2 linked regions of the Saccharomyces cerevisiae S288C genome follow. Changing the gene in region 1 together with any one later gene gives a genetic interaction. Each region holds a gene or a part of one and is shown in the gene's direction. Other genes may lie near its edges.

Evidence for each region. Genes that interact genetically often act in the same process or in processes that back each other up.
Region 2: mutations in SMF2 (region 1) and CDC1 together harm fitness more than expected from each alone (negative genetic interaction), as found in Saccharomyces cerevisiae (3 studies listed by BioGRID, with this or other methods).

What each region holds. Positions count from the first base shown.
Region 1 is NC_001140.6:206,049-210,150, forward strand, and holds SMF2 (divalent metal ion transporter SMF2), read left to right. Parts: upstream 1-1,605; coding exon 1,606-3,255; downstream 3,256-4,102. Other genes in the region: YHK8 (Yhk8p), read left to right, coding at 1-103; FSH1 (putative serine hydrolase), read left to right, coding at 414-1,145; YHR050W-A (uncharacterized protein), read left to right, coding at 3,427-3,597; COX6 (cytochrome c oxidase subunit VI), read left to right, coding at 3,657-4,102. UniProt on the Saccharomyces cerevisiae protein: High-affinity manganese transporter involved in manganese uptake from the extracellular environment.
Region 2 is NC_001136.10:825,545-829,744, forward strand, and holds CDC1 (putative lipid phosphatase CDC1), read left to right. Parts: upstream 1-2,037; coding exon 2,038-3,513; downstream 3,514-4,200. Other genes in the region: cohesin-loading factor complex subunit SCC2, read left to right, coding at 1-232; SAS4 (Sas4p), read right to left, coding at 366-1,811; YDR182W-A (uncharacterized protein), read left to right, coding at 3,607-3,810; PLP1 (Plp1p), read left to right, coding at 4,041-4,200. UniProt on the Saccharomyces cerevisiae protein: Probable metallophosphoesterase which may participate in recombinational repair of double -strand breaks.

The sequences.
Region 1 (4,102 bases):
TCTCTTGGCAATGGTGACCGTAGCGATGATTCCTGTCCCATTTCTGTTTACCAAATACGGTGCCCGACTGAGAGCCAAGTCGCCGTATGCATGGGATGATTGATTTTTTTGCATATTTTTTCCTTTGGATGTTGCATAATCTTTTCCCGCTTACGTCATTGGTGATAGATTGTTTCGGATCTTCAAAAGGCAACACGCATAGGCCAAAGAAAAAAGAAATTTTGCATTTTTTCATTTTTGCATATTCTCGCATGTTTTCTTTCTTTTTCTCTAGTTTTCGAATGTTTTTGGCTGCAATGTATATTGTATATAAACCATAAAGGTGCAAAATGCCAGATGTACGCGGCCAATCTTAATTTTCTAGTAAAAGTAGCAGCTAAATCTGAAACTCTCTAGCTTGTAATAAACGAAGGATGACTGTACAAATTCCAAAATTATTATTTTTACACGGCTTCTTGCAAAACGGTAAAGTTTTCTCCGAAAAATCATCTGGTATTAGAAAATTATTGAAGAAGGCTAATGTCCAATGTGACTATATTGATGCACCAGTCCTTTTAGAAAAGAAGGACTTGCCATTTGAAATGGATGATGAAAAATGGCAAGCCACCCTAGATGCGGATGTTAACAGAGCCTGGTTCTATCACAGCGAAATCTCTCACGAATTGGATATCTCAGAAGGTTTGAAGTCTGTTGTTGATCACATCAAGGCCAATGGCCCATACGACGGCATTGTCGGTTTCTCTCAAGGTGCCGCATTGTCCTCTATCATCACCAACAAGATCTCAGAGTTAGTTCCAGACCATCCACAATTCAAGGTAAGTGTAGTCATTTCCGGCTATTCCTTCACCGAGCCAGACCCAGAACATCCTGGAGAATTGAGAATAACCGAAAAATTCAGAGACTCATTTGCGGTAAAACCAGACATGAAGACCAAGATGATCTTCATCTATGGTGCTTCTGACCAAGCCGTCCCATCCGTCAGATCCAAGTACCTGTACGATATTTATTTGAAGGCGCAAAATGGTAATAAGGAAAAGGTGTTGGCTTACGAACACCCTGGTGGACATATGGTTCCAAACAAGAAGGACATTATCAGACCAATTGTTGAACAAATAACCTCTTCCTTACAAGAAGCTTCTGAATAAATCGTAGGTTGTTGCTTACCTGCTTTCTAGCTTTTTACTATCACACGCAGGGTGTGTGGAGTGAAATGCTGATCGAGTATGTATATATACATATAAGTACTTTGTATAGAATGAACCACAAGTTTGTAGCATCCTTTCTCTTCTCTTCCATCCTGCGTGCTGCTAACCCCGCCCGGCGCGAAAAATCCACCCGGGGTGCTTTAGCGTGGCTTACGAAGACCTTTTTAAACATACTTATACTCTTTCTCGAAGGAAGAAAATAATGCAGAAGAGAAACAGCAGAAAAAAAAGAAATCATATTAAATTTCAGAATCAGTCTCCTTTTGCTTCTAGTCATTTAACCATCAAACGCGTTTAACCGTTTAGAAAACCCTCTTCAACAACTATTTGTTTTGATACTAATATTAGCACATCTCTATTGCCATTTAACCACTAATTTTCCGTATAGCGTTTATGTTTGATGACGTCCCAAGAATATGAACCTATTCAATGGAGCGATGAATCCCAAACAAATAATGATAGTGTCAACGATGCGTATGCCGACGTGAATACCACTCATGAGTCGCGTCGAAGAACAACTTTGCAGCCAAACTCAACATCCCAGAGCATGATCGGAACATTGAGAAAATATGCTAGGTTCATCGGTCCTGGTTTGATGGTATCTGTATCGTACATGGATCCTGGTAACTATAGTACAGCTGTAGCAGCGGGTTCTGCTCATCGGTACAAGCTTTTATTTTCTGTCTTAGTTTCTAATTTCATGGCTGCTTTTTGGCAGTACCTCTGCGCCAGATTGGGTGCTGTCACTGGCCTAGATCTGGCACAAAATTGTAAGAAACATTTGCCCTTTGGACTTAACATTACTCTTTATATTCTGGCGGAGATGGCAATTATTGCCACAGATCTGGCAGAAGTGGTAGGAACCGCTATTTCTTTGAATATCCTTTTCCATATACCTCTCGCCCTAGGTGTGATACTTACTGTGGTAGACGTTTTAATTGTTCTGCTAGCTTACAAACCTAACGGTTCCATGAAGGGTATCAGAATATTTGAAGCTTTTGTTTCTTTATTGGTGGTTCTTACCGTAGTTTGCTTTACTGTTGAACTGTTTTATGCCAAACTGGGACCTGCCAAAGAAATATTTTCTGGGTTCTTACCCAGTAAAGCCGTTTTTGAAGGTGATGGGTTATACTTAAGTCTGGCAATTCTGGGCGCCACGGTAATGCCTCATTCATTATATTTGGGGTCAGGTGTGGTTCAACCAAGATTAAGAGAGTATGATATCAAAAACGGACATTACTTGCCAGACGCGAATGATATGGATAACAATCACGATAATTACAGGCCATCCTATGAGGCCATCAGTGAAACTCTGCACTTTACTATAACGGAATTACTGATCTCGCTGTTCACGGTGGCATTATTTGTCAATTGTGCCATTCTTATCGTGTCTGGCGCTACACTATACGGGTCCACTCAAAATGCTGAGGAAGCTGACTTATTTTCTATTTACAACTTACTCTGTAGTACTCTTTCCAAGGGAGCGGGAACGGTATTCGTGCTGGCATTGTTGTTTTCAGGACAGAGTGCCGGTATCGTGTGTACGTTGAGTGGACAAATGGTTAGTGAAGGGTTCTTAAATTGGACTGTTTCTCCGGCATTGAGAAGATCCGCCACAAGAGCGGTAGCCATCACGCCTTGTTTGATTTTAGTGCTTGTAGCTGGACGTAGCGGCCTCTCTGGTGCACTAAATGCTTCCCAAGTGGTACTTTCTCTCTTGCTGCCTTTTGTTTCTGCACCTTTACTTTACTTCACTTCAAGCAAGAAGATTATGCGTGTACAGCTTAACCGTACCAAAGAACTTTCAAGAACTACAGACAAAAAACCCGTGGCCGACCGAACCGAAGATGATGAGACCATTGAGCTCGAAGAAATGGGCATAGGCAGCAGCTCACAGGAGCGCAGCTTAGTTTCTCCTGCTCCAGAATACAAAGACATGAGCAATGGAATGATCGTCACCGTGCTCGCAATCATAGTATGGTTGATTATCTCCGGACTGAACTTTTATATGTTACTGGGCTTTACTACGGGCAAAGAAGTACACCTCTAATATAACAATTCTTTAGACTAGTATAAGTATACATTTTATCCAAGAATAATAACAGAAAATTCCAATCAAAAAGTTGGTGTTAGGCTATACTGATGGCCGTATCGCTCCATACGAGCCAATCAGGGCCCCGCGCGTTATTTCCGCCGCTTACAGCTTTCTTTGAATCTCCCTATGAAAAGGGACCTAATTGGTCCGGTCAAAGCATTAATAAAGATCAACAATTGCTCTTGCTTATCAAGGTGCCAGATCTCAAGGTTACCTCATTTCTTTACATTTCATCCACATTTTAGCACACTTATTTATTATTACAATTTGAAAAATTGTATCACTTCTGAGACTTAGTAGCGGAGATAAACAGCCGAACAATTGTATTTGACACATAAACTAATAAATATACAACAATGTTATCAAGGGCCATATTCAGAAATCCAGTTATAAATAGAACTTTATTGAGAGCCAGACCTGGTGCTTATCATGCAACTAGATTGACTAAAAATACGTTTATTCAAAGTAGGAAGTATTCTGACGCACATGATGAAGAAACCTTTGAGGAATTCACCGCAAGATACGAAAAGGAGTTTGATGAAGCCTATGATTTGTTTGAAGTGCAAAGAGTGCTCAACAACTGTTTTTCCTATGATTTAGTTCCTGCTCCTGCTGTTATTGAAAAAGCTTTGAGGGCTGCCAGAAGAGTCAATGACTTACCTACCGCAATTAGAGTATTTGAGGCTTTGAAATACAAGGTGGAGAATGAAGACCAATACAAGGCCTACTTGGATGAATTGAAGGATGTCAGACAAGAATTGGGCGTTCCCTTAAAGGAAGAGCTATTTCCAAGCTCTTCTTA
Region 2 (4,200 bases), on another chromosome or scaffold:
TTTAATACAGTTAAGCTTACAGGATTTGGGTACTTATCTACTGCACTTATACGGGTTAAGGGATGATGTGCTTTTATTAGATATTGTAGAAGAATCAGAATTGAAGAACAAACAACTCCCTGCAAAGAAGCCGGATATCAGTAAGTTTTCCGCACAGTTGGAGAATATTGAACAGTATTCATCAAATGGCAAGCTTCTTACATATTTTAGAAAACACGTGAAGGATACGTAAATATATTGCACTTAAAATATACATAGTATTAATAATCATTTTGCATTTTCCATGCTGATTTTTCACGCAGGTTTTGAGAAGCAACTATGAAATATTGAATTTCATTTACACCATCGCATTATATTAGTTCAAACTAAACCTTTTTTTTCTTGCGGACAGGCAAAATATTAATACCTGAGTTAGTTTTCATTCCATTGTGTGTTTTTACAAAGGTCTTTTCGTTACAAGAGGGCACTATTGCTAAGTTTGGGTTGATATTGTTAATAATAGCACCCACATTCTCAGAAGACCTTTGTGAAATCTGAGATGCAGTGCAAGATGAAATTGAACCTAAAGGTGCCTTCTCTGAAAGAGTTGGACTTATAGATGCAGCATTGTTCCTTAAGGCATTCATTTCTTTTGATTTGACAGTCTCTGTCACAGATATTTCCTCCGCTTTAACATTCAGTTTCATAGACTTTTGTGTATCTTGCCTTATATCCCGAATGACTTCTGGTTCCACCTCCATCGTTAACGGGATGACTTCCCTTCTTCTTTTCACAGCAATTTGCGTTGATATTCGAGGAGCTTTCTTGAATTTTTTTGGATTTGTGGGAACTTTGTTTTTCCATGAATTTCTCTCTTTAGTGGAGGTTTTAATCAAATACGGTTTTCGGAGCGGCTCAGCTACGATAGCAAACCGTGTCATTCCCTTTTGTGATTGATGATCGCTCAGCAGTACTATAATGGAACCACCGCATTGCTGCTCTCTCTTCTTTAGGCGTCTCTCCCTTATTTCCTCAACGGTTATTTTTTCTTCTTCTTCGTCAGAGGAGCTTGCGTAATCTGGAATAAAAGTTCGATCGATTCGAGTATATATCTTGGGCCAATCTTTGCCACTAACCAATTTCAACAATGAATCACTTGAGGCTGGCCTTCTAGCTAAATTGCGGCTTTTTTTTTTCATAGATTCAAATTTATGTAACATTGAATCAATCAGCTCTTTAGTTTGGTAACGTTTAGTCTCCATTTCATTCTCGTCAGTGGGGTCATTTATTTTAGTAACCTTCTGTAATGTTACTTCCCAATTCAACATACCCAGTCTGTCTGAAATTAATGAAAGCCTGTCTGCTTCATTTTCACCATTTACGATGTCCGATTGAATCATTCTATTTTCTTGCTTCAACATTTTCTTGTGGTAAGGCTGATACGTGCTATCAGGAAGCAAATCATCAGTTGGTTTTCTAATATTCTGGCTCAATTCATGATGTTCAATTTCTAGTGTCATCTTTGTAATTGTCTCTCTCTTTTTCTTGATCTCATCATCGACATTACTCATGAACGGCGACTTCATCACAGGTTTCTGACAACGCGTTTCGTCAACATGCTCATCTACAGTAAAGCAGGACTTAGATTTCCTTAGATGTCCAGCATTTGGGTTTATCCTGCTGACTAATCTTAACTTCCTTTTAGGGTTAATTTCGTATTCTTCTGTATCAAAATCGAATTTTTCAAATTCTCCATGACTATTTTTAATCTCAGACCTCAGCAATCTCTCAGAAGTATTATTTGCTTCTTCTATTGATTGAAAAATACCCATTGATGAACTCTCATATGCTTTTAATGCTGTAGAAATTTTCGGTTTTCCTTTTTAATCTTGCTACTTTTTGTTTTGAGATCGCTGAAATCAACTCGCGGGTTAGATTTTCTTATTTTTAAAAATGTAGAACGAACGATTATGGAAACAACAATAACCAAAAAGAAAGGGAAAACAGTACCGCTTCTACTAATCTGTTGGATACATTAGACAATAAGCTCTAGGAAGTATGGTATATCGTAACAGGTCAAAGAGCGTTTTATCTACACACAGCAAGAAGAGCGACGATAAGGCCCACTATAAATCACGTTCGAAAAAGAAATCAAAAAGCAGGAGCAAGAAGAGGTTAAGAATCTACTGGAGATACATATCTATTGTATGGATCTTATGGTTAGGATTAATATCTTATTATGAATCAGTGGTTGTGAAGAGAGCAATGAAGAAGTGCCAATGGTCGACTTGGGAGGATTGGCCTGAAGGCGCTGAAAGTCATAGGGTGGGTTTATTTGCAGACCCACAAATAATGGACGAATATTCATATCCTGGGAGGCCTCAAATAGTTAATTATTTTACAAGAGTGATTGTTGACCATTATCACAGGAGAAATTGGAAATATGTCCAGTATTACTTGGATCCTGATAGCAATTTTTTCCTAGGTGATCTATTTGATGGAGGGAGAAACTGGGATGATAAGCAATGGATTAAAGAGTACACACGATTCAACCAAATATTCCCCAAGAAGCCACTGAGAAGAACGGTCATGTCTTTACCAGGTAATCACGATATTGGTTTTGGAGACACAGTTGTTGAATCGAGTTTACAGAGATTTTCTAGTTACTTTGGAGAAACTTCCTCCTCATTAGACGCTGGAAATCATACCTTTGTACTTTTAGATACAATTTCGCTTTCTGATAAAACAAATCCGAATGTCTCGAGGGTTCCTAGACAGTTTTTGGATAATTTTGCAATGGGTTCACATCCGCTTCCTAGAATTCTTTTAACTCACGTTCCATTATGGAGGGATCCAGAACAGCAAACGTGCGGTCAGCTACGTGAATCCAAAGAACCTTTTCCTATTCAGAAAGGGCACCAGTACCAGACAGTTATAGAAAACGATATATCACAAGAAATTTTAACGAAAATTCAACCAGAAATATTATTTTCCGGGGATGATCATGACCATTGTCAGATATCACACTCATATCCGTTTCAGGGGAAAACTAAAAATGCTCAAGAAATTACAGTAAAGTCATGTGCAATGAACATGGGGATCAGTAGGCCTGCTATTCAATTGCTCTCCTTATATAATCCTTCAGATTTGACAATGGTAAATGCCGGCGGAGAGTATGCATCAAAAACTTACCAAACAGAGCTATGCTATATGCCAGATCCCTATAAGGCAATCAGAATGTACCTATGGGGATTATTATTCTCTGCTGCCTTTATCGCATACATGCATTTTTTCCCAAAATCTTTTAATAATCGCGTAGCAACCATAATGAACAGAGTATTTACACGACCTGATGGTAACACCTCAGATTTGCCATTACCTACAAGTATTTCCAAATCGAAATCCAAAAAATCATTGACACATAGTAAATACGCTGTGAATGATACGCGTTCGATCAAACAATTTCTAGTTAATGCAATTGTCCTTTTTGTTTCTGTGATGCCCATTTTTATTTATTTTTATACTGTAGTCTAGACAGAATTACTGCTATTCTCTTCCAGGATCAAAATGCTTTGAAGGGAAACGTCTGGCTATTTAATATATGCGAATACACCTTATATACAGACAATGAACAAGAGATATAAATTATACCGGGTGTGGTATTACTATGCTCACCAAACAGTTTGCATAACCTCTACTGGATTTGCATTATGTTTTGTGGTCCAAGCTAAAACTGCAGGACTGGGCGTAACACCAATTACTTCACTATACGGGGACAAAAAAGAACACCTAGGTAAGTTGTTGGTTCCTTTAGTTTTATATCAAATTTAGCAAGTCATGACGGCAAATTTCTTTGTAAGCTTTGTTTAAAAGATGGATACAAAAGGACGACTTTCCTTTCAATCTTTCGTTTTTGCTTTTTATTATTCCATAGCAATATAGTGATCATAGTAGTGTAATTTTTAGAGTTTAAAAAACACGAAAGTAGGATGAAGTACAAAAGATTAACGAAAATACTCCATTCTCTTAACAACTCATACGTATATGAAGATTAAATTAATATGGAAGATAAATTAGACAGATACTACACAAATGTGCTTTCAAATGCTGAAAAGGATAAACACACAACTGTCGATAGCGATGACAAAAGTAGTGGCGAGGAAAATTTAGATGAACTACTTAATGAATTGGATAGAGAATTAGACGAGGATCATGAATTTT